Linked DNA regions of Canis lupus familiaris. The protein of the gene in region 1 interacts with the protein of each later gene in a pairwise test. Links are inferred from orthologs where the notes say so. Each region holds a gene or a part of one and is shown on either strand. Other genes may lie near its edges. The genes, in order: CBY2, CKS1B, SYCE1, DZIP1L, METTL17, MMAB and KIFC3.

The links.
Region 2: the proteins of CBY2 (region 1) and CKS1B interact in binary tests that used the Homo sapiens proteins (3 or more experiments, as listed by UniProt). The two-hybrid records come from large-scale screens. The link is inferred for Canis lupus familiaris from reciprocal best matches to the Homo sapiens genes CBY2 and CKS1B.
Region 3: the proteins of CBY2 (region 1) and SYCE1 interact in binary tests that used the Homo sapiens proteins (3 or more experiments, as listed by UniProt). The two-hybrid records come from large-scale screens. The link is inferred for Canis lupus familiaris from reciprocal best matches to the Homo sapiens genes CBY2 and SYCE1.
Region 4: the proteins of CBY2 (region 1) and DZIP1L interact in binary tests that used the Homo sapiens proteins (3 or more experiments, as listed by UniProt). The two-hybrid records come from large-scale screens. The link is inferred for Canis lupus familiaris from reciprocal best matches to the Homo sapiens genes CBY2 and DZIP1L.
Region 5: the proteins of CBY2 (region 1) and METTL17 interact in binary tests that used the Homo sapiens proteins (3 or more experiments, as listed by UniProt). The link is inferred for Canis lupus familiaris from reciprocal best matches to the Homo sapiens genes CBY2 and METTL17.
Region 6: the proteins of CBY2 (region 1) and MMAB interact in binary tests that used the Homo sapiens proteins (3 or more experiments, as listed by UniProt). The two-hybrid records come from large-scale screens. The link is inferred for Canis lupus familiaris from reciprocal best matches to the Homo sapiens genes CBY2 and MMAB.
Region 7: the proteins of CBY2 (region 1) and KIFC3 interact in binary tests that used the Homo sapiens proteins (3 or more experiments, as listed by UniProt). The two-hybrid records come from large-scale screens. The link is inferred for Canis lupus familiaris from reciprocal best matches to the Homo sapiens genes CBY2 and KIFC3.

Annotation. Positions count from the first base shown.
Region 1 is NC_049243.1:5,417,093-5,421,249, reverse strand, and holds the start of CBY2 (protein chibby homolog 2), read left to right. Parts: upstream 1-1,357; 5' UTR 1,358-1,441; coding exon 1,442-1,516; intron 1,517-1,826; coding exon 1,827-1,907; intron 1,908-2,510; exon of another isoform or gene 2,511-2,557; coding exon of another isoform or gene 2,558-2,611; intron 2,612-4,157.
Region 2 is NC_049228.1:42,484,136-42,488,357, reverse strand, and holds the start of CKS1B (cyclin-dependent kinases regulatory subunit 1), read left to right. Parts: upstream 1-1,422; 5' UTR 1,423-1,520; coding exon 1,521-1,579; intron 1,580-2,985; coding exon 2,986-3,113; intron 3,114-3,924; coding exon 3,925-3,977; 3' UTR 3,978-4,222.
Region 3 is NC_049249.1:41,697,255-41,700,079, reverse strand, and holds the end of SYCE1 (synaptonemal complex central element protein 1), read left to right. Parts: intron 1-95; coding exon 96-185; intron 186-413; coding exon 414-477; intron 478-1,255; coding exon 1,256-1,322; intron 1,323-1,401; coding exon 1,402-1,525; intron 1,526-1,600; coding exon 1,601-1,711; intron 1,712-1,862; coding exon 1,863-2,014; intron 2,015-2,196; coding exon 2,197-2,207; coding exon of another isoform or gene 2,208-2,274; 3' UTR 2,275-2,325; downstream 2,326-2,825. UniProt on the Homo sapiens protein: Major component of the transverse central element of synaptonemal complexes (SCS), formed between homologous chromosomes during meiotic prophase. Requires SYCP1 in order to be incorporated into the central element.
Region 4 is NC_049244.1:34,870,189-34,874,454, reverse strand, and holds the start of DZIP1L (zinc finger protein DZIP1L), read left to right. Parts: upstream 1-1,466; 5' UTR 1,467-1,485; intron 1,486-1,791; exon of another isoform or gene 1,792-1,808; intron 1,809-2,250; exon of another isoform or gene 2,251-2,352; intron 2,353-4,093; exon of another isoform or gene 4,094-4,174; intron 4,175-4,266. UniProt on the Homo sapiens protein: Involved in primary cilium formation. Probably acts as a transition zone protein required for localization of PKD1/PC1 and PKD2/PC2 to the ciliary membrane.
Region 5 is NC_049236.1:18,218,181-18,222,182, forward strand, and holds the start of METTL17 (methyltransferase-like protein 17, mitochondrial), read left to right. Parts: upstream 1-1,202; 5' UTR 1,203-1,218; coding exon 1,219-1,308; exon of another isoform or gene 1,309-1,339; intron 1,340-1,414; coding exon 1,415-1,568; intron 1,569-1,663; coding exon 1,664-1,798; intron 1,799-2,850; coding exon 2,851-2,932; intron 2,933-3,175; coding exon 3,176-3,257; intron 3,258-3,592; coding exon 3,593-3,666; intron 3,667-4,002. UniProt on the Homo sapiens protein: Mitochondrial ribosome (mitoribosome) assembly factor. Binds at the interface of the head and body domains of the mitochondrial small ribosomal subunit (mt-SSU), occluding the mRNA channel and preventing compaction of the head domain towards the body.
Region 6 is NC_049247.1:17,868,490-17,872,660, reverse strand, and holds the start of MMAB (corrinoid adenosyltransferase), read right to left. Parts: upstream 2,801-4,171; 5' UTR 2,733-2,800; coding exon 2,617-2,732; intron 1,467-2,616; coding exon 1,405-1,466; intron 788-1,404; coding exon 694-787; intron 1-693. Other genes in the region: MVK (mevalonate kinase), read left to right, coding at 4,036-4,113. UniProt on the Homo sapiens protein: Converts cob(I)alamin to adenosylcobalamin (adenosylcob(III)alamin), a coenzyme for methylmalonyl-CoA mutase, therefore participates in the final step of the vitamin B12 conversion.
Region 7 is NC_049223.1:58,001,920-58,005,395, forward strand, and holds the end of KIFC3 (kinesin-like protein KIFC3), read left to right. Parts: coding exon 1-220; intron 221-435; coding exon 436-570; intron 571-1,374; coding exon 1,375-1,483; intron 1,484-2,071; coding exon of another isoform or gene 2,072-2,076; exon of another isoform or gene 2,077-2,100; intron 2,101-2,280; coding exon 2,281-2,306; 3' UTR 2,307-2,976; downstream 2,977-3,476. UniProt on the Homo sapiens protein: Minus-end microtubule-dependent motor protein. Involved in apically targeted transport. Required for zonula adherens maintenance.

The DNA.
Region 1 (4,157 bases):
AGGATCATGCCCTGAGCCGAAGACAGATGCTCAACTGCTGAGCCACCCAGGCGTCCCCATTTCATGGTCCTTTGTTTGGGCACCCCCACGAAATGAGCACGGCTGGTTCCCTCTTTGTTTAGATTTCCTAGATCAGCGCCCAAGGGCGATGTACAGGTGCTTCTATGAGGTGCATCTATAAGGGAAAGCTGAACTGAGTTTTCCAGTGGTGTGAGAGTTAATCACTAGAAACCCTTGGAGAAACAGAAAACAGGCTTTGACAGGGATGTGGAAAAACTGGAACCTTTGTGAGCTGTTGATGGGAATGTAAAAGGATGGCACAGCAGCTACGGGAAAACAGTATGGAAATTCTTCAAAAAATTAAAAATAAAACTGTATATAATCCAGCAATCCCACTTCTGGGTATATATCCAAAAGAATTTAAAGCAGGATTTTATTATTCACAAGGAGTGCCCCCGAACACACCTGACTTTATGCTAATGAAGTGACCCTTGGTGGCCCCTAGATGGCTTCAGGATGGGCACTAGTTGCTAGAAGAATCAACTATGTGATTAGAGGTTGGGAACTTTCAAGTATTTCACCTCTCCACTTCTGGGAAATGGGGGATGGGGGGTGGGTTGGGCTGGAAATCTTTAATCACCAATGGCCAGTGATTTAATCAACCTCGACCAGGTAATGAAACCTCCATAAAAACCCTTAATAGGGTTAGGAGAGCTTCTGGGTTGGTGAACACATGGAGAAGCTGGGAGGATGGTATGACCTGTGAGGGTGTGGAAGCTCCATGTCCTTCTCCCCCTATACCTTGACTTAAGCATCTTCTATTTGGCTGTTTCTGAGCTGCATCTTTTATAACAAAAGTAATTGTAAGTAAGGTGTTTTCCTGAGTTCTGTTAGCTATCCTAGCAAATTACAGAGGTGCGGAGGGGTTTGTAGGACCCCCGCCAATTCATAGCTGGTCATTCAGAAATACTCGTGGCCTGAGAGTTGTGACTGGTGTCTAAAGTCTGGTGTAGGCAGTCTTGTGGGACTGAGGCCTTTAACTTAGGTGACCTGACACCCACTCCAAGTAGATTGTCTAAGAATTGAATTGAATTATAGGACATACAGTTGGCCTCAGAGAATTGGAGAATTGGTTGGTGTCAGAAAATATCTCAGACTCCGTGGCTTCTCTTGGTCTGAAATGAGTTCAGTTTGGATTTCTCCAAGTAGAAGATGCTAGCTCTAGAGAGAAGGTAGGGCTTACAGCCCAGCCAGGCAGTGGCGATATGAATAGTAGCAAAGATGACCAAATAGGGGGCTAATGTTTGGGTTATTGTGTGTCACACTGACCCTGACCAGCCAGGTAGACATAACCAGGGTGACTCTTCCTGTCAGGTGCCTCATTCCCACCTGTGATGCTCAGAGAGACCATGAGCCCTGAAAAACACCGTATTTTTTTGTGATGTCACCTCTGGAATGTTCTGAGTGTTTTGGTGACCAACTCCTACATAGGACCTATACCTGGCACCTAACATTGGTATGGCTTTTTACTTGAGATAGAAGTAATAACCTTAGAAAAGGTATTAGGTATGGGTATCTCTGCTCCAAAGACTTTTTGGAAGGTTTTTAACACCAACTATAAAATCTGTCTTAATTTCTGTCTAGAGATTGATAAGCATCTTTTCAGATACTATCTTCACATTGTTTCAGACTCAGATTTTCATAATGTACATAGTTGACAAGAGGGGATAAGTGAATAGAAAGTCATCTGTTTTTCAGATTGAGCAATTGAAGCTCAGAGGATGGGCTGGGAAGCAGATATCGTTTTATTTTCTCTTTTCCCACAGCACTCGAGGCCAAGTATTGCAAGAAAAAGAGATACCAGATCTGAAAGCCTAGAAATTCCAATCAATGTGGTTCTGCCTCAGGTAGGGATAATCACAGAAGGGTGCAACTTCCTTGTAACCGGAATAACCCTCCTCTTTCAAGACTGTAGCAAGATATTGTAGAATGAACAGGGTAGTCGGGACCTCTAGTTGCCAACTAGCTGTGTGCCAAGGGGAATTCACTTAGCTACTCTGGGTCTTCAGTTTGTCATCCCTCAAATGAGGAAGGTGGGTTCGGTGACCTGGTAAGACCTCTCAGCCCTCATAATGCTTACAGTTTCTATGACACTCTGAAGTAAGCCACATTCTTCCCAGACTTCAATGTTTTGGTGCTTGCTATTGTACAACCATTCCGGATTTCTGGGAGAGAATTAGAACTGAGACTTGGAACCAAATGCATATGACTGAATCCATGAGTAGAAAGCCCAGGACGTGGACCAAGAGGTACAGGGTGATTTGGAGGTGCCAAGGGAATTGAGGCCTGCTGGATACAAAGACAGAGTGGAAGGGGAACTCAGAAAGGAGGCCCGTAAACGGATGAAGTCTTGACAGTCTGGAGAGTCTCAGGTGTTGTCCTGCTAAGCAGCCGTTTCCTTGGTGGGGTTCTCCTGACTGGATTGTTTCTCCTGCTGCTATGTCACAAAGGGGCAGCCTTGCTTCTCTAGAGTCACCTAAGGCACTGTTGGAAGATCATGGCTGTGCAACCAGAGGGGCTGAAATGTAGGCTGGAGGAATCCAATGCAGAGGTAACTACCTGAAAGCGAGGTACAGGGTGTGTAGGAACAGGATCGAGTACCAGTGGGCATCCTATATATATACTTATTTATTTATAGTAACATATATTTAATATATAATTACATATATAATATATAACTACATAATTATATCTAGTACACATAACAAAATGATATATACATGTTTTCTAAAGCCGTATCTTAAGGATTTTGTGAAGAACAAGATGACAAAGAAGAACTCTGTCATTCTTTCAATAGGTGGAGATAATTGTAACAGTCTGGGCAAGTATATTCAGTAGGAGGGAAAGACAGGACAAAAGAACATTCTGGCTCTTTGTTTTCCCCTTATCCTTATAACTTTGTAGTGAGCAGCCACTTCATCAGTTTCAGCTCATGAAGCCTAGACTATAAGCTACTTTGTCCTGATCATTAGACAGGATGGCTTGCCCACAGGGTTCCTACAGCTCAAGGAACCTTGCTTTAGGTCTGATTCTTTCCACTGAAATGCCATGTAGTTCTGCTGGCCACTACTCCCCTGAGGGTGGGTGTTGTGCCTTTGGTTTGTTCACAGCCTCACTAAGGGACAGGAAGAGGGTGCCAACCTGAGGGTGAGGTTGGGGATAGGGGCAGGAATAGGATTTTTTTTTTAAGATTTTATTTATTCGTGAGAGAGAGAGAGAGAGAGGCAGAGATACAGACAATGGGAGAAGCAGGCTCCCCACAAGGAGCCTGATGTGGGTGGGACTCAGGGGCCCCCCGGGATCATGACCTGAGCCAAAGGCAGATTCTCAACCACTGAACCATCCAGGTGCCCCAGGAATAGGATTTGAAATAGTGGTCATGTGATAAAGAGATTGGAAAAAGTCTTCTGTCTATACCTAGTACAACTCTCCCCGCGTAGGTCCCAGAGATAGGCCAGCCTGAAGGAGGAGAGAAGGTGAACAGAACCTGGGGGGTGGTTTAAGAAGGCTCAAGCTTGTTCTGGGGCCATTCACTTCCTGCACTGCAGGACTTGGTGCTGCTGTTGTGGTTTTGGAGGGCACGGAGGGCACGGAATGTATACCCCTCATGGGTACACCTGCCAGGGAGACCCAAGTCATACACCAAGTTTCAGACACCTGCCAGGATGCTCTAGGCTGAAACTGTGAGGGAGGGGTGTGGGTGTCTATAAATTTAGATTATCTGGACTGTGCCACCACCAGGACTGTGAAGGGACCAGTGTACTCGTTAGACCTCCCCAAATGAAATTGTGCATGACTCAGGGGAAATTGACCTGGTTAACAAGGGGAGGAAAAATAGTGACTGAGCACTGGTTTGGTCATGTGGCAGGCACTGGGCAATGCTAGTGTGAGGTAGGGATTGTATAGGCATGGGAAACTTGAGCCCCAGCAGCCTCTCCAGTAATGGCAGAGCTAGATAGGGGGTTGAAAGCAGGCCAGTGTCCACTCTCTCCGCTACACCACAAGCTAGGCCTATGCCACCTGGTGGGGCCAGGTCACATCTTAGCTCTCTCTGTTCTCTTGCCTTTAGGAAATAGCGCCTCCTCTGTGGGCACCTT
Region 2 (4,222 bases), on another chromosome or scaffold:
GACCAGGAGGAATGCCCAGACAAGAGCTCTGCTTGGGGGGGAGGGGAAGAGCCCAAGAAGCGGCGGGGGCTGGGGAGTCCCTTCCAAAAAACTAAACAAACAAAAAAACTCAAACAGCAAAAAGGCCACTGTCCCCTCCACCCACGCCAGGCCACCGTTTCCAGGCAGCAGGACACTCTAGCTCCTGGTGCACCCGCAGGTTGCACGCCAACCTCACGGCCCTACCAGCTCCCGAGGTGCGGGTGCTAGCCCTACAGCTGTCTCTGGGGCGGAGTCTGTCCTGGGCTGGGAACCCAGGAGCAAGTCTCTCGGCCCCTTTGGCGCCAAACCCCAAGTCCAGGCCCCTCTCCGCGGGGCAGGGGGAGGGGCAAGGGAGGCGGAGGGCGGCCCCTGACCTCGCCCGGCTCGCCCCACCTGCTGGAGCAGAAGCACTGGCTCCGCAGAGCTGAGCCCCAAGCCCAAGGAGAAGAGAAGCTGTGTCAGCAAGGGGCTTCGGGACTACCACAGCGCTCCGAGGGGCGGAGCCCGCCCCACTCTGGACGCTGCCCAGGGGGAATGGGCCCCACATCACGGGTACCGGGCACTGTAAGAGGCGAGGCTACAGCACCGCCCGACGCCATCAGGCGGGGGGCGGGGCCTCTCGGAAGGCGTAGCCTCTGGGGCGGGGCTGCCGGCACTCGGCCGGGCCTCGGAGGGGCGGGGCTCTGGCCTCCTGGGGGACCCGTCGCCAGAAGGCGAAGAATCGGAACTCAGAGAACTACCGTCAGGTTTCTCACAGTCGGACTTGGAAGCATGTTCGGGGGTGGGACTTCCAGGAAAGCTGGGCAGCAGGGTGGGGTCGTGGACAATACACAGAAAACAAGTCGGGGTTCGGGGAGCCCCCTGAAGATGGGGGTGGGACTTCCGGGGAGGGGGGTCTCAGGGGGCGGGACTTGCACATGAAGACCGGAAGTAGGGTCCCGGGAGAGGGGTTCCGGGGTGGAGGAATGGGTCACCTTAGGAGAGGGAGAAGACCTAACTCACCAGGGCCTCATGGAGTCTCCGCACCGCACCGCGGCTCGATTTGGTTCCGGATCACGCCACTGCCTCCTTAGGTCGCCGTTCCAACTTTCTCCCCGGCCTGGCCTCCCTGAAGAAACTTTATTGCACTCACTTCCGGCCTCACTAACCCCTGACCCTCTACCTCAGCGTCCCTCCTTCAGCCGTCCCACTTTGCCGAATCAGCCAATGGCAATGCGAGAACGCGCACGGGGGCAGGAATAGCCAATTAGAGGCATATTTTTTCCCTACGCTCATTCTTGACTAACGTAAGCAGCGCGGTCCAATAAGGACTCGAACAGAAGCAAATCTAAACCAATCGGCGGCTTGAAGGTGGAGTAGTCCCGCCTTAAACCATGGGGTCCAATAGGAAGCGCGGGCGGCGTGTTTGAAAGCTAGGCCAAAGTGGGTGGGAGCGCGTGCTGCTGGGAGTTGTTTGGAGGTTGCCGGAGTGGGCCTGACGGTCCTCAGGCTGAGTGATCATGTCGCACAAACAGATTTACTATTCGGACAAATACGACGACGAGGAGTTCGAGTACCGGTTAGTGCCGCCGCGGGGGCCATAACGAGGTCGTGAACTTTGACAAGTGAGGGCAAGAGGAGTTAGTCACCGGGGCTGAAGCAACAGGACCGGCGCATGCGCGGGGGACTCCCGGGGCGCGGGCGCGGAGCGTAGCAGGGCGCCTGCGCGAGGGCCTGGCGGCGAGAGGGCGCGGACAGCTGCGGACCGCAGTGTGTCCCGCGCCGGGGAGCGGGCGGAGGGGGCGTGCCTAGAGCTCGAGGCCTCCGCACCCCGCACCATGCGGGGTTCTGGATCGTTCTGGGAGCTTCCCCGGGCACGTGGAGGTTGCCCGCTGGGGCGTGCTGGAAAGAAGTGGCCGCAGCGGTGCTGAACGATCCGGGAAAGGGGGCGCGGGCGTGCGGCTCGTGGGAAGGTCTGACCCGGCGACGCAGCGCCGCAGGCTCGGGAGTTGCGCCCGGGCACGGTGTGACGGAGGCAGCGCCGCCCCTCCAGGAGGAGTACCAGGGAAGAGCGAGGATGCTGCCCGCGTGCCGTTTTGGCTTCTTCCTGGAAGAACGTGGGATGGAGACTTGGCAGGCTTGCGTTTCCTTCCCGGCCAAGTGCGGGGCTCCGGGGACTCGGCGTGTGCTGACCCTTGGGGGACCCAGGCCACTTAGGTTTCTTTCCGCCGCTGACTGTGCGCTGCCACCTCTGCAGAGCTAGTTTCAGCTCCCCGAAGTTGTAAGTCCGGGCGCTGGCGTTGGGGGGCGTCGGTCGGGTCCGATTAGGGATCGAAGACGCTGTTTGTGAAAGAATTTGCTACTAGTACACACCTACTGTGTTTTCCCTGAGCATGATGGGGTCTATCTGGAGTAGCCCAACTCAGGTGAGAGTAAGGATTTTTTTTTTGCCATGAAAGGAGATTTATCCTTGGTTAGGAAAACCTGGGGTTTCCCAAGAGGAGTCTCATGGCAACTCTTTTCAGAGTTGGGAAAATGAAATGGAGGGTACATTTCAGAGGAGAAGATATTCACATTTCATCCTTGTGATGGCTCTTCCTCACAGCGCTCCACAAGAGGCCTTTCTTCTCCACAAAACCAGCCGTTTTCAAAACTACCTTTAATAATTAACGCTGTGAGTGTCGTGGGGCTGCCCTTAGATCGTTCTAATCAGCTAGCAGACTGAGCTGGAGGAAGGCAGGGGCGCGGTGTCCACAGCGCCTGTTCACTTGAGTTACTCACGCGTGCTTTTTAACATACTTGGGGGGACGATTTGCATAATCTGGCCTTTATTTCTAGCTGCCTCTGCCCCATGATAAGAGTACATAAACTCTCCCATTGGGAACCAATTTTTTCTTTTCTTTGCTCTCTTGGCTTTGTACACAAGCATTTGTCTAACACAACTGCACCCAGTACTGATGTGATCCCTCCGTGTTTCTGTTACAGGCATGTCATGTTGCCCAAGGACATAGCCAAGCTGGTCCCTAAAACCCATCTGATGTCTGAATCTGAATGGAGGAATCTTGGAGTTCAGCAGAGTCAGGGATGGGTCCATTATATGATCCATGAACCAGGTCGGTGCGATGGCTGAAAACAACCATTTAGGGCTCCTTGGCTGAGGAAAAGAGGAATGATAAGATGGTATAACCCAAAGAAATAGAGGTGAGGGTGGTCTATTGGTTCCTCACCAGCCACCTAGAAAAATCAGAGTGATGGGATCCCTGGGTGGTGCAGCAGTTTAGCGCCTGCCTTTGGCCCAGGGCGCGATCCTGGAGACTCAGGATCGAATCCCACGTCGGGCTCCCGGTGCATGGAGCCTGCTTCTCCCTCTGCCTATGTCTCTGCCTCTCTCTCTCTTTCTGTGTGACTATCATAAATAAATTTTAAAAAAAATTTTTTTTAAAAATCAGAGTGACAAAAAAGAGTCAAGTACTGGGAAGTTCAGAAGACAACCTGTCCCTGAAAAAACTCTTTCAATCTCTAATTCAGTCTGAGCATCACACACACACACCCGTCACCCTTTTTAAGGCCACAAACACCCTGGTAGAGGTTATGGATCCTGCATCATTCTCCATGAGAAAGCAAATTCTCAGATGTGTCCCAAATAAGCCAAGGGAAGTATATTTCTTGATAAGACACCAGACCCACAAGCAGCCAGGCAAATCTAATAAAGGAGGTGGGCAGGGGATGGGGGGGCTGTACAAACACAGCAAAGGAACTGATGCTAATAGTTCTCTGCTTAGCAGACAGGCCCAGCTTTAGGGTCTGCTTCTGAGGCCATATGCTTACATCTTAATGTAGTTCTAAAGGTCTGAAATGGGAAGGGGACGCACTACACACTGCAGAGACCAGGGTGAGCGTGTCTCTTCAATGTCACTCTTTCAGAACCTCACATCTTGTTGTTCCGACGGCCACTGCCCAAGAAGCCGAAGAAATGAAGCTGGCAGCCACTTTCCAGCCTCAAGCTTTACACAGCTGTCGTCGCTTGCTAACATCTTCCTGATAACATCATTATGTTGCCTTCTTGTTTTCTCACTTTGATATTTAAAGGATGTTCAGTACACTGTTTGTGCTGCTGACTGTTTTGCTTGAGCAGAGCCAACAGCACCATGGCCCGGCCAGTTGAGTGCTCTTTGGGCTGCAGCCTCAGCTGAGCTGTGTACCCAGCAGAGCACACTTGGTA
Region 3 (2,825 bases), on another chromosome or scaffold:
GCCAGAACAGACCCCAAGAGGAAGCAGAAGCCCCACCCCAGCCCTCTCCTGGGGAGGTATTCAGAGACTGTGAGAGCTGCCTTGCCTCTTCCCAGGAAGCATACCATGCTGCAGGAGTGCAAGGAGCGAATTTCTGCCCTGAACTCCCAGATTGAGGAAGAGAAGAATAAACAGAGGCAACTGAGGTAAAGTCCCCGAGGCCAGGCAGAGTGGTGGTGGGTAATATTAGGGATGGGGCTTAGAAGAGCTGGCTGAGGTGAGGCCTGGAGCCTCAAGGTGGTGAAGGTGCTTCCCACAGAGCAGAGGACGTGGGCAACTTTCATATGGTCTATGCATGAAGACCCCTGGCTTGGGCCAAGGTGGGGAGGAATGTCTCAGCACATGGCTCCTCATCTTGTGTGGTTGGTCTGCAGGTTGGATTTTGAGGAACAGCTAGAGGATCTGATGGGCCAGCACAAGGACCTCTGGAAGTTCCATGTGAGTCACCCAAAGCCATTCCTCCCACCTTTCACATCTTCCCTGGCAGTCCCAGGCCCAAAACTCATGATCATGCTGCAGGCCTCCTTCCTCTCATCTGCCACCCCCAGCTCCTGAGCTAGCATGGGTGGTCATATGTCCAAATGGCCCTTAGCTCAATCCCTCGTCATCATCCTCACTGCCACCCGGTGTCCTTCTCTTCACTGGGCCTGCCCATTCATCCCTTCAGGGGCCAGGAGGAACCCTGATGAACCAAGGAGAGGTAATCCATAGAGCGGATAGGAGGGTGTGTCTGCAGCCATGACTGACACAGGGCACACAAGTGGGGATCCAGGCAGACCATCCTGACCACCTAGGAGTCCAGAGAGAATAAGTGTTAAGATGGAGGGGCTCAGTGAGGAGGCCACACAAAGGCAGGTGGAGCTGCAGTGCCAGGCTGGTAACTGATTCTCCAGGGAACAGTTGTGATTTGTAATGTTTTCGGGATGTCCTGTAAGAAATAGTTGCCTCAGACCTGATCTCAAAACTGGCAAAGTTCCTGAACATTAACCACCTCATGAGCCTCAAATGCAGCATCACAGGTATCAGGCGAGACAGTTCCAGGTGCAGACAGTAGCCAGTACAAAGGCCCTGAAGCTGGAACATGCCTTGTGTGCCCAGAGGCCCAGAATAGTAGGAAGTGAGGCAGGCTGAGTAGAGACCAGATCCAGATAGACTTCTCTGAAGGGCATGGGAAGAGGCTGGAACACATGGACAGGCCTCCTCTCTACCTACTCAGGGGCCAGAGCAGATGGCCCGGGAGATTGACACCCTGGACAGCAGCAAGGAGCACCTGCTCAAAGAAGGTGAGAGCGAGAAGGGGGAAGCCCTGATTTGCCCTGCACTGCCCTGCCGTACCCTGCCCATTGTCCCTTCTTGCTGCAGAGAAGCTTGTGGAGGCAAAGCTGGAAGATGTGAAGCATCGTCTGTGTTCCCAGTTTGGGGCTGACGGCTGCTCAACCATTGCTGAGGGGCTCTTTCTCCGCAGCCAGGAGGCTGCAGCTGCAGTGTAAGACCAAAGAGGACAGGGACAGGGAATGGGGTGGAGGGACGGAGTTTCCAGTGCTGATGGCCCCACCCTCAGGCATCTGTTTGAAGAGGAGAACAGGAAGGCCCAGGGGCTCCTGGATGCTGCTACACATCACCATGAGCAGCTGCAGCAGAAGTGCCAACAATTGCAGCAGAAGAGGCAGAGGTGGGCATGGAGGCCCTGCCCCCAGTCCCCAAGAGGAAGGTGGCTGTGAGGGCACCTCTGCTCCCCTTTCAGCTCATCTCCCCATTTCTTTACACCCTCTTGTCCCTTCTCCTCCCCCCTCCCCATACTGACCCCACCCCTTTCTGTCCAGGCTTAAAGAGGAGCTGGAAAAGCTTGGGATGCAGATCCCTGTTCAAGCCCAAAGCAAACAAGAGGAAGGGGCTGGCCCAGGAGAACCTGTGAGACCTGGAATTGGGTGGCAAGGAGCAGAGATAGCTCATAAAAGGAGCTGGGTAGAGGAAGGCAAGGAAGGGGAATCACAGAGTCCTCAAAGATGCTCTTTGGGGAAGGGTGTTCTCATAGGGCATAACCAAGACAGGAGTACAGAGGCTGGCAGTGGTGGGGTGGGAAGGGGCACATCCCAGTAAGGCTGTGGGCACAGGGGTGCACAGAGACTTCGCTTCTCAGACCCTGACCTCCCACAGGCCAATCCTAAGCTCCTAGGAGTCATTCAGGAGAAAGACCCAGAGATGCCCACCAAGGAAGGCCCTATGCCCTCTTAGGCAAGAAGGACTCTCCCTACCCTGGAGCCTATTCAGTGCCATGAACTTCAAGAAATAAAATTACTATTTCAGTACCACTGTCTCAGCTGAGTTTGTGCAGGGGTGGTAGGGCTTGTCCAGCCCAAGACCCTTGACCCCTGAGGCTGGGTAAAACCTTGGCCACATCTCCATTTGGCCTCAGCCAGAGTTCGACGGGAGGTGCCCAGTATGTGCTTCCCTAACCTCATAGTCTCTGCTCATTTCTAGGACTACACACCCTGTTTTGGATCTCCAGGCAGAAAGGTGCACGTTCTGCAAACTCACCCTGTGATTATTTGAATTTGTTACTGAGGCCTGAACTATACAGAACCTACAGAACCTGGAAATCCCAAACATGAGGAACAAGGTGCTTGGGATCTCAGCCAGTCCCTTACCCACAGTCCCCACCGACTAGCTGAGAAAAAAATAATTGGAAGCCAAGTGTAGTTTCTGCTCTTGTGGGCACAAAATACATAACTGACATACCTGTCTATACAACACAGTATGTTAGAATTTTCCATGTCCTGGGAGTC
Region 4 (4,266 bases), on another chromosome or scaffold:
TAACAATTTTCAAATGTACAATTCAGTCGCATTAAGTACATTCACATTGTTGCACAGCCAACACCACTATTCATCTCTAGAACTTTGCCATTGTCCCAGACTAAAACTTTGTACCCATTAAACAATAATTTCCTATTCCCTACACTCCCTCCACCTCACCCCAGCCCTTGGTAACCACTATTCCACCTGGAATATCTCTATGAATTTAACTATTCCAGTTACCTTATATAAGTGGAATCATAACATTTCTCCTTTTTGTATCTGACTTCTCTCACCTGGCATAATATTTCTAAGGTTCATATTGTGGCATGTATCAGTATTTCGTTATGCTTTAAGACTGAGTAATAGTTCATTGTATGTATGTAGCACACTTTGTTTATCCATTTATACCTTGATGGCCACTAGGGTCGTTTACACCTTTTGGCAATTGTGAACAATACTGTTAGGAGCATGCGTCTACAAATACGTTTTAGTCCCCGTTTCCATTCTTTTGAGTAAATACCCAGAAATGGAATTGCTGGATCCTACGGCAATTTTATTTCTGTCACAGCAGCTGTACAATTTATATTCCCACCTGGCGTTCCATTTTCTCTCTTTTCTTTTTTTTAAGGTTTTATTTATTTATTTTTATTTTTATTTTATTTTTTTAGATTATTTTTTAAAATTTTTATTTATTTATGATAGTCACACACAGAGAGAGAGAGAGAGGCAGAGACATAGGCAGAGGAAGAAGCAGGCTCCATGCACCGGGAGCCTGATGTGGGATTCGATCCCAGGTCTCCAGGATCGCGCCCTGGGCCAAAGGCAGGCGCTAAACCGCTGCGCCACCCAGGGATCCCCTATTTATTTATTTATTTATTTATTTATTTATTTATTTATTTATTTATTTATTTATGAGAGATACAGAGACACAGAGAGAGGGAGAGAGAGGGAGGGGGAGGGAGAAGCAGGCTCCACACAGGGAGCCCGACGCGGGACTCGATCCCCTGGTCTCCAGGATCACGCCCTGGGCCGAAGGCAGGCGCAAACCGCGGAGCCACCCAGGCGTTCCTCCACATGCTTGCCAACACTTGTTTCCATACACTCTTGCTTGGGCTGCCCCAAGACACAGAGTTTGGCAGACTGAGACTGGAGTGGGAAGAAGGCCTTAAAAAAAAAAAAAAAAAAAAAAAAAAAATCCCAGCAGTCTGGGGCTCGGTAAAGCTGTGAGTAGCTGGGAATCGGGGACCAGCATCCGGGGAGGAGGAGTTCTCCGCTCCCGAGTCGCGGCGCGGGCGCACGGGGCGGGCTGGAAGGCCGGGTCGCGGCGCTGCCCCTCGGGACGAGCTCGGCGAGGGCCCGGCTCACCCGCGGGCCGCCCTTTGTTGCGTGTGTGGGGACTGCAGCACCTCCATCCCCGGGCTTCCCGCGCCCGCGCCCTCAGCGAGGCCAGCGAGCCACTCTCGAGGATCCCGGACTCAACAAGGCATTCCCCCGCCCCCCTCGGTAGCCGACTTAAAAATAGCTTGTCCCGGGGGCGCTGGGGAGAGGCTCCACCCCCGTCTGGGTGGCGTGGGGCGCCGTCCCGGGAGCCCGCGGCGTCGGAGACCCTGGGCCTCGAGCTGCGGGCGCGGAAGGCGCTGCTGCCCTCGGGTCCGCGGGGTGGGCGGCAACGGGGAGGGCGTCCCGGCTCCCCGCCGCTGGGGTGCACCCCCGGCCCGCGCCGGGGTTCGGGGAGCCGCCTCCGGGAGGTCTAGCCGGGAGGCGGGGCCGGGGCCAAGCTGGGGAGCCCGCACCTCTGGACCTCTGCCGGCTCCGGAGGCCCCCAGGTGAGCAGGACCGCGTGGGAAAGCTATGGCAGGAATTTGGCCCCGGGAGGGGCGCGGGTGGGTGGGGAGCGCCCTCGCGGTGCCACCGTGCGGTGGGTGCAGCAGGCCGAGGGCGGTTAAACATTAGCGGCTGGGGCGCGGGGTAGGGGTCCAACCCGGGAGCCGCGGGAGCTGCACTCCTGCGCGGACTGCTTACCGCGGCTAGCGGCGCCCGGCTCCGCCCCTTGCCCCGCCCCGGGCCTCCCTGGCCACGCCCCTGGCCACGCCCCTGCCACGCACTGGCCGCCCATTGTCCCGCCCATTGTCCCGCCCATTGTCCCGCCCCCGGCCACGCCCCTTAGCCGGCTCCGCCCCCACCTCCACTCTCACAGCTCACTCCAGACCGAGGTACTCCCGGAGGGAAGCAGGAGTGACTGCACCTCGCCACCCACCCACCCACCCCCCCCCACCCCCCCGGACTGTTTCCCTGGGTGGACAGACTCGGATGCTTACTTTTTGAAAAAAGTGAAATGATTTGGAGGGCTTGATGCTTTGAGTTCTGCAGGTAAAGGGGGATCTTTTGATAATGAGATGATTTAAAAACCAAAAATTGGCATCTCTGGTTTGTTCCTCTTGCATTCTGGGGCTAGGGTTTAGGAGGAGGCAGCGACGGTATTTTCCTTTTGAGGTGGCCGCAGGTAAAAGTCCAGGGAGACTTGCTTTGTACGGGAGGAGGGTCTAGAAGGGGGTCTGGAGGGCTTGGGCCGGGGCTCCCCTTCACCCAGCACTCCTTAGGGCCCAGGACGTCCCCTCCCTCCCCTGCACCTGGGGGGGGGGGCATTGTCTCTGGGAATTTGATTTGTAAAAGAACTTCGAAGAGAGGCCTGGTGAGTGTGAGGTTCTCTGACTATGGCCTCTCTTTCATCTGCAGCCAGGGTGGGTGGTCCACTCCTGTGTCAGGGAGGTCCCTCATCACTTTCTCCTGGCCTCCTGGAGCTGAGGATTGACCAGTGAGAACAATCCCTCTTAGAGAAAGCTGGCCCTCCAGTCAAGTGGTTGAAAAGCCATCTTTTTTCTGGCTCTGTCAGCACCAAGAGACATCTTCCTCATGTGGAAATAGTTTTGGATACCATCCGACTTGATAAAATGGTCCCATGGAGTCATATGCTTCAGGTTGGGAACAGAAACCTGAATTCCTTTGTGGAATATAACTGGGTTCTGCCACAAAGCTGGAGTTTGGTCAAAGGCTTGTGGCTCTTGTTCTGACAGGAGCAGGGATGGGGGCAACATGGTGGGCTCTTCTGAACCACCTTGTGCGCCCTTTTCAGAGAGGGCGGGTCCTGGTTAGGTGGGTTAATTACCTGCAGTGCCAGCTGTTGCTAGGCTGCGCACCTCCAGGGAGGATCTTGTGGGGGTCTGATGGCTGAAGCTGGAGAAAGTCTACCAAGAAACAATGACTGTTCCAAGGGAAAGAAAGCACCAGTATATTCTAAACTCCGTTCCTTTAGATGTGAAAAGCAGGGCTGATTTTTGACAATTCTGCACCTGAGAAGACAGGTCATGTCAGTTTGTAGTCTTCCCCTCTATAATATTCCTGAGCGATGCCAGCCAAAGCCCTAGCCCTGATTTTTCTTTTAAAGAAGATTCTCTTGTGGCAAAAAGTTAAGAGAGGTTTTTGACAAAACCGTTGGTGTTGTCTTTTAAAAAGATCTTCTTAGAAGGAGATACAGGTCTTCCGTTACGGAGTGGATGTCACGGGGATAAAAAGCAGAGCGTAAAGAATATGGTTAGCGATATTGTGGTAGTGATGTAGCGGGACAGATGGTGGCTACACTCCCGGTGAACATAGCCTAAAGTCTAAACTTGTCGAATCACACCTGAAACTAATGTGTAACATTGTGTGTCAGCTATACTAAAAAAAAAAAAATAAATAAAAAAAAAATAAAAATACCTCCTTAAAGTTACTGGGAATGGAAGCCAGAACCTTGATAGTTCTGGGAGCAGGTGCAGCCCCTGTGGAGGGCAAGGAGTGGAAATGGCACACTTTTTTTTTTTTTTTTTTTTTTTTTTAGAAAACAACAGAATTAGGGAATAAAGCCTAAAATCTGTAACGATAGTGTTCCAGGAGAACTTCCGAGTCACTCTCCTTTGGGATTTGTAGGGCTCCCTTGCCTAAGGCTTGTATATAACCTATTTGCAAACTGTGTGGGAGTTTCCTTGGCAACCACAACAATTAACATTAATGACAAGCCTGGGCTCCTCAGGGCAGGTACTACTGGGGTGGCTCTGGGAGCCAGGGCAGGCTTGTCAATGATTGCCTGGCAGCTGCCTTGGTAGCTTGGCTCCCCTAACAGCTCCTCTTGGCTGCATTTTTGAGGAAGCAGAAGGTACGGTAAGGTGGGAGCAGCGGTGGTATACTCTAGCTGTCCATTTATATTTAAAAATCAGAATTTAAAAAGATCAGTTGTTTGGTTGACTT
Region 5 (4,002 bases), on another chromosome or scaffold:
CACCCAGGCATCCCTAACCTGCCCAGGTTTAAATCTAATTGTCATCTAACAAGCTCTGCGATCCTGGGCGTGACCTCCAACCATTTACTCCCTTTCTCCGTCTCCCGGACGCCTCGCTGCGTGGATGGGCTTCCCGCAGCATCGGGCACCTAACCTTCTGCGCGTTACCTACTCGTCCAAGCGCACAGCGTACTATGTGGAATAACATGGGGAAAAGAAAAAAAAAAGAAAAAATCTATGGACTATCATTTTGTTATCCTGGGGGGGGGCCTCCATTTGCTTTTTCTTATCTTTCCCTAGCTGCATTCGCCGTTCGCACACAGGAGGGGGACCCCAAGACTTCGGAGTCTTCCAGAGAGAAAGGCTAGGAACACAGGTGCAGTGTTTCCCTGTGTCCGGCGCGGCTCCGGGGCGCCCAGGAAGGGGCTGGTCCCCGCCCGCCCATCCGACCCCCGGACTTCGGGACGCGAGCCTCGGGGCCCCGCGCCCACCCGGGTTCCAGCTGCTCTCGGGGCAGCGGGGCGCCCGACCCCGCCCCCGGACCCGCCCTCTATCCTGGCCCCGCCTCCGGCCCCGCCTTCTACCCTGGCCCCGCCCACTGCCGGCCCGGCCCCACCTTCTACCCTGGTCCCGCCTCCGGCCCCGCCCACTGCCTGCCCGGCCCCGCCTTCTACCCTGGTCCCGCCTCCGGCCCCGCCCTCTGCCCGCCAGCCCCGCGCCCACCCCGCTTCCAGCTGCTCTCGGGGCAGCGGGGCCGGACTCCGACCCCGGCACCTCCCTCTATCCTGGCCCCGCCTCCGGACCCGCCCACTGCCGGCCCGGCCCCGCCTCCTACCTCGGCCCCGCCCTCCATCCTGGCCCCGCCTACGGCCCCGCCCTCTGCCCGCCCGGCCCCGCCTTCTACCCTGGCCCCGCTTCCGGCCCCGCCCCCTGCCCTCCAGCCCCGCTCCCACCTGCTCTCGGGGCAGCGGGGCCGGACCCCGCCCCCGGCCCCGCCTCCGACCCCGCCCTCTGCTCGCCCGGCCCCGCCCTCTATCCTGGCCCCGCCTCCGGTCCCGCCCTCTGCCCGCCCGGCCCCGCCCCCACCCGAGCGCAGATCCCCTCCGAGGTGATACCGACCGTTTATTGGCCACCAGAAGCACTCGCTCTTCTCATTGGCTGACGCTGCTCCGCGGTCACAGGTCTCGTCATTTCCGCTTCCGGCTCGCCTCCGGCACCATGGCGACCGCGCGGGGACTGCGGCCGCTGCTGACGCTGAGCCGGTGTAGCCGCGGGCGCGGAGGAGCCCCCGGAGCCCCCGGGTCCCGAGTGAGTGCCCGCTCCCCGCGCCGGAGGGACCCCGGGGCTCAGGAACGGCGGCGCTGCCGCGGGTGGGCGCTCCCGGCCGCGGTCAGCGTCTCCGTCCCGCCCGCAGGCGCTCGCGGGGGTCGCGCCGGGCGCGTCGCAGGTGGACAACAGCTCCGGCTTCCTGGGGCGGAGGCCACACCGCCGGCACCCCGGCGTCCTGCAGCTGCCGTGCGTGCGGGTGCCGCCCGTGCTGGCCGCCGCGGCGCGGGCCCTGCTGCTCGGTGAGTGGCGGGGCGGGGCGGAGCGAGCCCCGAGGCGGAGCGGGGGGCGGGGGCCGGCGGCACGCGGCTGACGGCGCTGCATCCCCGACCCGCAGAGAGCTCGCTGCCGGGCGTGGAGGCGCAGGTGCCGGCGCTGCGCAACTACCTGTGGAGCCGCCGTGTGCCCGTCGAGCCGGAGGAGCTGCAGAGGCGCGCGCGGCGCCTGGAGGAGCGGCTGCTGGAGGACGCAGGTGGGGCCTGCAGGAGAGTCGGCCGCACGGAGGGCCCGCGTCCCGCCGAACGGGGTCCTCCGCTGCCCTTGCCTCTCCCGGGCGCCCCGGGTCGGGACGGCCTACGTTTGTGTTCCGGGAACGCGGCTCCCTAGCGGGCCCGGAGGCCAGGCAGGGCTCAGCGAGCCGCTCTCACGACCGTGAAGCTTCTCCATCTCACACACCTGCCTTTATGCATCCCGTGCTCCCCGCTCTCCCCTCACCCGGTGCAGCGTAGGCGCTGGGGGGACACGGCCCGCAGACCCACGCCATCCTGAGCCCCAAGACTTCCAGGCCCCGCTTTCTTCCCTCTCGGAACGTCGGAGACGCCACAGCCCGGAGAAAATCCACAGAATACCGTGCTTACGCGATGCTCTTCAATCTTCGAGATGCTTCCCTTTATTTTTTTAAAGATTTTATTTATTTATTCATGAGAGACACAGGCAGAGGGAGAAGCAGGCTCCACGCAGGGAGCTGGATGCAGGACTCGATCCCGGGACTCCAGGATCACGCCCTGGACCAAAGACAGGTGCTAAACTGCTGGGCCACCCGGGGATCCCCAACACTTCCCTTTAAAATAGCGCAAAGTCGGGGATCCCCGGGTGGCCCAGCAGTTTAGCACCTGTCTTTGGTCCAGGGCGTGATCCTGGAGTTCTGGGATCGAGTCCAGCGTCAGGCTCCCTGCATGGAGCCTGCATCTCCCTCTGCCTGTGTCTCTGCCTCTCTCTCTCTGTCATGAATAAATAAATAAAATCTATAAAAAATAAAAGAGCACAAAACCTGTGGGGTGGGGTTGGTATTGATGAACGAGCTGCCGTTAGACGCAGGCTACCATCTGATTCGCCGTGGCGGTGATGGTGCTCGCGGTGACTCCTACCTGAGATTTTTTTCCCCCCTAGGTTGGGCTTCTCGTGAGCTTTGAGGTTTTGCCCAGGATGGGAGCTGCAGAGGACGTGGGCAGGCCGATCTTCAGCTGTTGGATCTGAGCCCTGTGCGTCCCCGGTCCCCACCGTGGATTCTTGTTCTCACCCTAGACGTCCCCCCGGCAGAGGAGAGGCTTCGCCAAGCCGTGCTGCAAACCCTGCGCAGAACTACCTACCATTGGCAAGAACTGACGTAAGGTGGACTAGAAAGGCTACAGAAGGGGAAAGAAATCTTGTCTTTAGCTGGAGACTGGGGTAGCACAGAGACACAGTCCACGTCTGGGAGGCCTGCCCGGTGTGTAGCTCAGGACCCCTACCTTCCAAGGAGTGAGAGTACTCAGCCCCGGGAGTAAGAGTTCTCCCCTCTCTAGAGATTTCATGCCTGTGGGATGGGCGTTATTCCCTGGTGGCTGTGACTCTCTGGTTTTTCTGGCAGCTACAATGAGAGACTGAGCCTGGTATATATGGCGGCAAGACTGGATGGCGGCTTTGCAGCGGTCTCCAGGGCGTTCCATGAGGTGAAAGCCCCTCAGCTTCCAACCCTTAACCATCGCTTCCTTTATGCATAAAGTGGTCTCCTGGGGTATGATTCTAGGGACAACGCATGCACTTTTTTTTTTTTTTTTTTTTTTTATTTATTTTTTAAAGCAGCTCTGTTTATCCTCTGAAAGGATTTTGTGACCCAAGAAAGGTCTAAAAATCACTGTTTCAGGAGGTTCCCATTGTATTAAGTGTTTCCATTGACTCTCCAGGAACATTCACATCTCATCTGGCCTGCCGTGCTCCCCTGATGCAGAGGGGCCGTAGAGAGGCATCCGCTAACTCTGCTGTGGGGTATTGTGTGTTTCTGCAGATCCGGACTCGAGTTCCCAAGTTCCAGCCCCAAACCCTAATGGACTTTGGCTCGGGTACCGGCTCTGTCACTTGGTAAGTCTCTTTCAGTCTGTCATTTCTAGCTCTAGAGAGCCTTGTACGACACCCCAAGACACTGGGAGACCAGACGGGGAGAATAGGAGAGAGTAGGGAACTAGAATGTTTAGTCCCTCGGATCGGGTAAGACGTAAGAGGGTATGTGGATTAGGGCCAGAACTTAAAGGAACTTCTGATGAGCAAAAGACCCATGTTTAGGAAGATAAAAAAGAAACGGAATTTAGTCCAGGGCATATCACCAGATGGTTTTTTTTTTGTTTGTTTGGTTTTTTGTTTGTTTTTTTTTGCCTACAGATCGTTTTTTGAGTCTGCCCTTTTTTTTTTAAGGAGTCC
Region 6 (4,171 bases), on another chromosome or scaffold:
ACCACCTGTAGGAGCCCCTCTGAGGTCTGTCTGCCCCCCAACCGCAGCCCCCTTGGACTGTGCACTCTGCGAAGCCTGTGGGCTGAGGTGCTCTGCTTAGTGGTGCCTGGCACATGGAGATGTTCGCTCACTATCTGACAAAGAGTCCACAGCTTGGTGTCCCCGATCTCCTGCCCACAAAGATGGGGGGGGGTAGCTTGCCGATGGGCTAATTCTAAACAGCTGATGCTAGAATGCACCTTCATTTCCCCCTGCCCACTTTACCTTGTTCTGCCCCCGACCCCTACCTTCACACACACACCCACAAGTCGGCCTTCTCTACTCTGCTGCCAGGACCTCTGCACCTGTCATTCATTATCTGCCCTGAGTATCTCACCTAGTCAGATGCAGCATTGAGAAGCCGCGGCCATGCACGTGCACCTGAAGGGTGGGGGAGCCAGGGATGGAGGGGTGAGGCAGCTTCGCGTGGCGTGGGACAGATGCCAGGCAGGAGCAGGCGGTGCTGGGAGGCAAAGGTGCCTGCAGCCCGGGAGCCTTGTGGCACTGACCCCATGTGCCTGTGCTGCCATGCTGAGGCACGCTCATCGAGGGTTGGCAGCCCCCCGGGGACCAGCCAGCACTCTCAAGAGCTCCACGTGAATTACACTGATGCCAATTCAAACCCAACCTCGAGGCCAATGCTGTCTGCCTTACCCAATAGCTGAACTTAATTCATCTGTAGTTCCCACGGCTTCAAACACTTGGTCATCTTTAGGTCTCCTTTCTCCAGTGAAAGTGTTAGAAAACCCTGTGAAAAAATGTTTAGCCACCCAAATTAAGATTTTTTGGTGGTCCTGATATGCTCTTTTTAAAAAACTTTCCACCTGACATATAACAGGAAAGTGCTCAAACCATAAACATACAAGTTGGGGGCGCTTGGTGGCTCAGTCAGTCACTTAAGTGTCTGCCTTCGGCTCAGGTCATGATGTCCAGGGATTGAGCCCTGCGTGGGGCTCCCTGCTCAGCAGGGAGCCTGCTTCTCCCTCTCCCTCTCTCCCTCCTCATGCTCTTTCTCTCTCTCTCAAATAAATAAATAAAATCTTAAAAAAAAATAAATGTACAAGTTGATGAATTGCTACTACCTGAACACATCTCTGTGACCAGCACCCAGATCAAGAAATAGAATATGCTCAGCACCCCTGAAGCCCCCATACAACCCCCTTCAGTTGCAATCCTAAGGGTAACCACTATCCTCACTTCTCTCCCGGTATCTTTGGCATCTTTTAAATATCACACCCCACTTGATGATATTTAGTGAGATCCATTACATAATTTTTAATGATTGTGAATGATTTCGCAGAACTTTAAAATAGCGTTAAAAAGGTGGTTAACCTTTTTTTTTGCATGTTTCACCTGCCCCCCTACCTTTGTCTCCTGTTTTGGTGTATATCTTGGGGATCCTGGGTGTCTTTGAGGAAGACTGTGGCCTGATGAGAAACAGACATCAAGATGTGGTGAGTGGGGATGGCTTGCCCAGGGCGACACCTCCCTCAGTGGGTCACAGCTTGCTGCTTATGGCCTGAGGCGGCACTTACCCCTCCTCTGCTTGGATCTCTGTTGACATCATTCCCCTCCTTTCTTCCTAGTTAAGTCCTTTGTGGACAAGCTCTGTGTCTTGCCCGTATATGTATCTGCAGAGTAGCTCATGCTTAATAAACATGGAAAGAGTTTATTGACCCCTTTCCATAACCTCTGCACTGTTCTAACTGGATTGCTGGCATTCATCTCCTGGAATCATCTCTGGAATCTTCCCACAGCCCCAGAAGGTGGGAACTACCTACGACGTTCATTTTACTGTTGAGAAAACTGGAGCTCATGGGATGACTTGCCTTCCCAGGTCACCCAGGAAGGAAACCATAAGGTTGGGATTCATGCCCAAGACTACCTTACTTCACCCAAACTCTCTTACTTCCACGCTGACTTGTACCAGCCCAAACTCTTGGCCTCTAGTCCGCCACGCCAGGGCTTCTTGCAGAGAAGGCAATCTGGGCCACTTCCATCCTATGAAGCTCCAAGTAGACCCAGGAATGAAGAACTGCCACAACAGGGTCGGGTTCCGGCATTTTCAAGTAGCAAGGGAACACCTTGAATACGGGCTTCAACACTAAAACGTGGCATCACAAGCTCATTGGAAACGTCCTGTCACTGGATCTATGACGTACACTGACCCAGTTACTCATTCATGCTACTCTGCAGGTCCTGAGGCCCAGGAATGGGGGTGCAAGCTTCAAGGTCTACGATGACGGCCTCTCCGGATCGTGTTGGCGCGCCTCTGAGTCTTGAGGTATGAGGTGCCTCGGAGGCAGGTCAAACTCTGAATGGAGACCCCACCTGAGCGTGAGGCCGGGCAAGGAGGCCTAACTGGCCCCCGTGGATGTGCCTGCCCTGCCTGATGATGAGGGCCGAGGTTCCTTCTCATTTGTACAAAGAAACCCTCGGTGTCTGGCCTCCACGGCGCCCACGTGGCCGCGGTGACGTCACGACCAAGAGCGGCTCTCACAGCGGTGTGACGTCACCACGGCGACGACACCGCAATCCACGGCAGGTGTCCAGGTACCCTCCCAGCCAGGCACTCACCCGTCCCCGTCTTCCACGCCCTGGGAGCGGCGGCTCTGGAAACGGGGACACAGTAGCCCACGGGCGCCGACGCCCCCGCGCAGGCCCACGCGGCCTCCCAGGCCCCACACAGCCATGCGCGCGGCTGCTCGTCGGGGGCTGACCCAGCCAGGCTCCCGTTCCGGGCACCGCGGGCGACTCCACCTACCGCTGGCCGCGCCACCGTTCCGCAGCCGTTTTCTATTGGCTCGCGGCTCTCGACCCGGGGCGGGACAAGCCCAGGGGCTTGCTTCCCATTGGCTTGCGGCAGGGGCGGGGAACCCCGTGACAGCTTGGTCGAGCAATCTATTGGCCAATGGCCAAGCCAATTGCTTAACGGCTCGAGCGCTCTGATTGGCGGAGGGATAGGACGATTTCCCCGGACGGGGGCGGTGCTCGGGGACTAAATCCAGAGCCGCCCGGGCTTGGGGTCCCAGGACCACCTGAGGCCAGGTGAGGACGTGGGCTCGCGCGGCCGGCGGCGCGAGGTTGGAGGCTGAGCCCCAGCGCGACCTCGGGCCGCGCTTCTGGCTCCTCTGGCTCAGTTTCCCCGACTCTGGGAGTCCGTCCCGAGCGCCGGGCGAGCTCGAGTCTGAAGTGATCCGGAGCTTTGGGCAAGCAAGTGGATGGATTTCCTGGCGCCTTGCCTCAGTTTCCCCCGCTAAGAAACGGGGGAATCACGATAGTACTCGGCTCACAGTGCGGCTCGGGCCTTACCGTGTTAAGGTAGTGCACGTGAGGCCTTGAACGGATGGTAATTCTGCCTGATGTGTAAAAATCTACAACACTTGTAGACCGAGCGAGTCACTTTCTGGGACTCTGTGATGCAGAGATGCTGGCGTGGGCGCGCAGGAGGGGGCTCGACAGCTGTTTGTGCAGCCCATGGTAAAGCATCGTGAGGCATGGGAAACGGCCTAAGAGTCCAGGGAGGCGTTCCTTCTGGCTCCTGATTTCACTTAACTTTCCACCTTCGGCAGTAGCGATGATAAAAGCTGGAACCAAGAACAGAGCCAGCAATAAATAGCTATCCGTAGTGGAATGATCATATGCCAGAGCTGCCAGGTGTTCCGCTTGCTTTGTTTCATGTAACCTTTCCAAACCCCATCGAGGTAAGTACAGTTCTACTTCTCCTGTAACCTGAGGAAATCAAGTTGCCTAGCGTTTGAGTGAGTTCGTGAAGAAGACCTCACTGGGGAGTGGAAGAGCTGGGGTTTGAACCTGAGTCTTCCTGATGTGTTTAATGTGCTGCTGCACTGCACAGTCTTTGGGGCGCATGGCATGTGCTGAATGGTAGCTGCCTTTTTTGTTAGATGAGAAGTTTGAACGGGCATCTCTAATATCTCTAAGATCTGGGTCCTTTCATCCCCTCTCTGGCTCTGTGTTTCAGGGTTCTCCGGAGCCATGCTGTCAGAAGTCCTGCTGGTGTCCGCCCCAGGGAAAGTCATCCTTCATGGAGAGCATGCTGTGGTCCATGGCAAGGTAAAGCCCCCCCCCCCCCCCCAGAGCCTCTGAGAACTGGGCACCCTTTCTCTCTGAC
Region 7 (3,476 bases), on another chromosome or scaffold:
CCTGGTGGACCTGGCGGGCTCGGAGCGCGTGGGCAAGTCGGGGGCTGAGGGCAGCCGCCTGCGGGAGGCACAGCACATCAACAAGTCGCTGTCGGCTCTGGGGGACGTCATTGCGGCCCTGCGCTCCCGCCAGGGCCATGTGCCCTTCCGCAACTCCAAGCTTACCTACCTGCTGCAGGACTCGCTCAGTGGGGACAGCAAGACCCTCATGGTGGTGCAGGTGAGGACCTCTGGTGAGCTGCAGGCTGGGAGGGCTCGGCCAGCAGCACGACCGGAGACCCCCTTCCTCTGCGGCCCAGGCTCCCCAGGCTGTGTGGGGAAGGGACCCTTGTCCTCCCTCAGCAGCTCCAAAGTCAGTGAGCATGCTGCCCCTCCCAATTCTGGGGGTGGGGGAGGAGGCCTGCTGGCCGGGGTGTGAGCTCTTGTGTCCCATAGGTGTCCCCTGTGGAGAAGAACACCAGTGAGACTCTGTACTCCCTGAAGTTCGCTGAGAGGGTGCGCTCTGTGGAGCTGGGCCCTGGGTCCCGCAGGGCAGAGCTCGGGTCCTGGTCTAGCCAGGAGCATCTGGAGGTATAGGGACTGTCGTGGGCAGGAAGGAGGGCCTGGGATGGGGGACAGACTGGGGTGGTGGGGAAGGGAGGATGCCAGAAGGGGCTGGCGCCAGAACTTGAACCCAAGAGCCTCACTATTTTAGATATTTGTTTATTTAAGGAGGGGTGGGGGAGAGAGTGTGGGCACAGGAGCGAGGAGGTGGCAGGGAGTGGGGGAAAGGGAGCAGCAGACTAGCCCTGAGTGGGGAGCCTGACTCGGGGCTTGGTCCCAGGACCCCAGGATTATGACCTAAACTGAAGGCAGGGATCCCTGGTGTCTCAGTGGTTAAACACCTGCCTTCAGCCCCGGGCGTGACCCTGGAGTCCTGGGATCAAGTCCCGCGTCAGGCTCCCTGCACGGAGCCCGCTTCTCCCTCTGCCTGTGTCTCTGCCTCTCTCTCTGTCTCTCATGAATAAGTAAATAAAATGTTACAAACAAACCGCAGGCAGATGCTTAGCAGGCAGATGCTTAACTGGCTGAGCCACCAGGTGCCCCTGCCAGGGGCTTCTCTCATCTAAACACTTCTTAGCCTCAGAGCGCCCTGTGGTGGTCCTCAGCTGGCTGGGGGGCGGGCGGGTTGCAGGCTGGCACGCAGGTGCTCAGTAGTAGCTCAGGGCCCTTTAACATCCATTATCTCAGCTAATTCCTTCAGTAACAAGGTGGGGCTCACCTCATCATACCCATTTTGCAGGAGGTTGGGGAGGGGAACGCAGGGGTGGAGCACGGTGAAGGGGGGAGCCAGGGCAGCATGGCCCCTGCCCACCTGCTCACCCCTGCCCACAGTGGGAGCCAGCTTGCCAGACCCCACAGCCCTCAGCACGGGCACACTCAGCCCCTGGCTCTGGGACCAACAGCCGCCCAGGCTCTATCCGGAGGAAGCTGCAGCCCTTGGGTAAGCCCTTGGGGAAGGGGCCACTGTGGGGTTGGGGGTGGGGGTGAGCCTCCTTACAGGTGGATAGCCACCAGACTGCCCTTGCCTGAATGGACTTTTCCTTTTTTTTGTTTTGTTTTGAAGTTTATAGAAGTCCTCCAGAACCTATTATACAAACTTTTCTGGCCCTGGGAAGTAGTCAGTCAGGAAGTAGTCAGGACAGGACACTGCTAGGCCCATTTTACAGATGGATAGTCAAAGGCCCTTTGGAGAGGCGGTAGCATAAGGGGAACCCAGACCTCGGGGCTCCTAGCAGGGCTGCTGATTTGAGGCCCAGGAGGCAATTCTCTGAGGCTGGCCTCAAGACACCCCTGCCCTGGGCCTGGATTCCTGGGGAGGGAGGGTGAAGGGCAGGGCCCACCCATGTCCCAGGTGAGGAGTGAGCCCAGCCACAGGCCTGGCATCCAGAACCCCAGCCCTCTGAGTGGCCCCACACTCACAGAGGGGCCTGGCAAGGGCTGGAGTCCAAGGAGGTAGGGGCCACAGGGTCCCGGGGAGTCCCAGCCCCAGGCAAGCCCACCAGTGAGACACCTGTTGCTTTGATTTCAGCCTGACGGCTGGGGCTGCAGAGTCTCCAGGTGAGTGTGGGGCCAGGGGCCCGGGCCCGCCTGCCCGCCTGCCTTGGGTTGCAGGGCTGTGCCGGGGAGAGGGCTGCTCAGGGCGGGCCTGTCCTGCTGCTGCCTGCTGTCTGTGCTTCTCCCTGGCTCCCTCCCGATCGCGTGCACAGAGGCTGACGAAGCCTTTTCCCGCTCCCGCAGGGAAGTCCAGGCCGGTGCCTGTGTGACGGACGCATCCACCCTGCCAAACCGGGGACTGGATCCACCTGCTGTAGCACCAAGAGCCCAGGAGGCGAAGGCCAGAGTGGAGGCATCTCTTCTGCCTCGTATCCACTCAGAAATGAGAAAACATGTTCCAAAGGAAATGGTGTCTCTCGGCAGTGGGTGTGGGTGCAAAAGGCCCGGGCTGGAAGGGCAGAGATGGCCCACTCTGCCTGGCAGGCCCGGGCCGTCAGCAGATCCTCGTGGGGAGGGCAGGAGTGTGGGAGGCTGGGCCTCTGGCCTGGGCCAACTCGCTCCAGCCTGCAGGGCCTGTCTGTAACGGGTGGGCTGAAGAGCCCCCAGCAGGCCCAGGAGCCGTGAATCTGGGCAGTCGGTGGGCACGCTGGGGCAGCCCTGGCCCCCTTCCCCTCCGAGGCAGGCCCCGAGTGGGTACGTGTATAGTGTGACTAGGTGTACATAGGAGCGTGGCCCTCCCTGCCGAGGGCTGGGCTGTATTTATGGCTGGTGGGAGGCCAGTGGGTGGGGATCCTGCTGCTCCCCTCATCTGCCTGGCACCAGGCTCTCGCCTTGCTCACTGGCCTCTTGACATTTTCCTCCTCTGAAATCCTATTTAAGAACTTTTGGAAGCTTAGCCATTTTTACTTATTAAAATAAAAACCTTTTTACACAACGATAGTCTGAGAGTTGGGTCTCTTGAGCTCCTGGTCAGATCACAGGGACAAGCCCAGGGACAGCTCCCTGCTGCTGGCTGGTCACCCACAGCCCTCTTGAGATCTCGTGAAGGCCACGACTGAGAGGATCTAGTGCCCCTGGCCACGCCCATCACATGGACCCACCCAGCAACACGCTATCCTGTCTGTACGTGGGAAACTTGGGCTCTTCAGAGGCTTGAGCACCATAGCCAGCAGGGCTGGGCTGGCCCCTTAAGGGAACTGGCTAGGGGTGGGTACCACCCTCTTCCCGGTGCTACAAGACTGCCCTCCCCAACCCCATGGGGGTTGTGCTGGCCTCCACCTGGTCTGGCCTCGGCCTCAGCAGGGAATGTGCACAGGGGCTCAGTGGGGCCCTCTCTCCAACTAGGGCTGCCACAGGAGCAGAAGGGGTCAGCGCTGGGGGATCCTCCTGGGAGGAGGGCCACTGCCCTTCCAGCCCTGTCCCAGGAGGCCTCCTGGAGG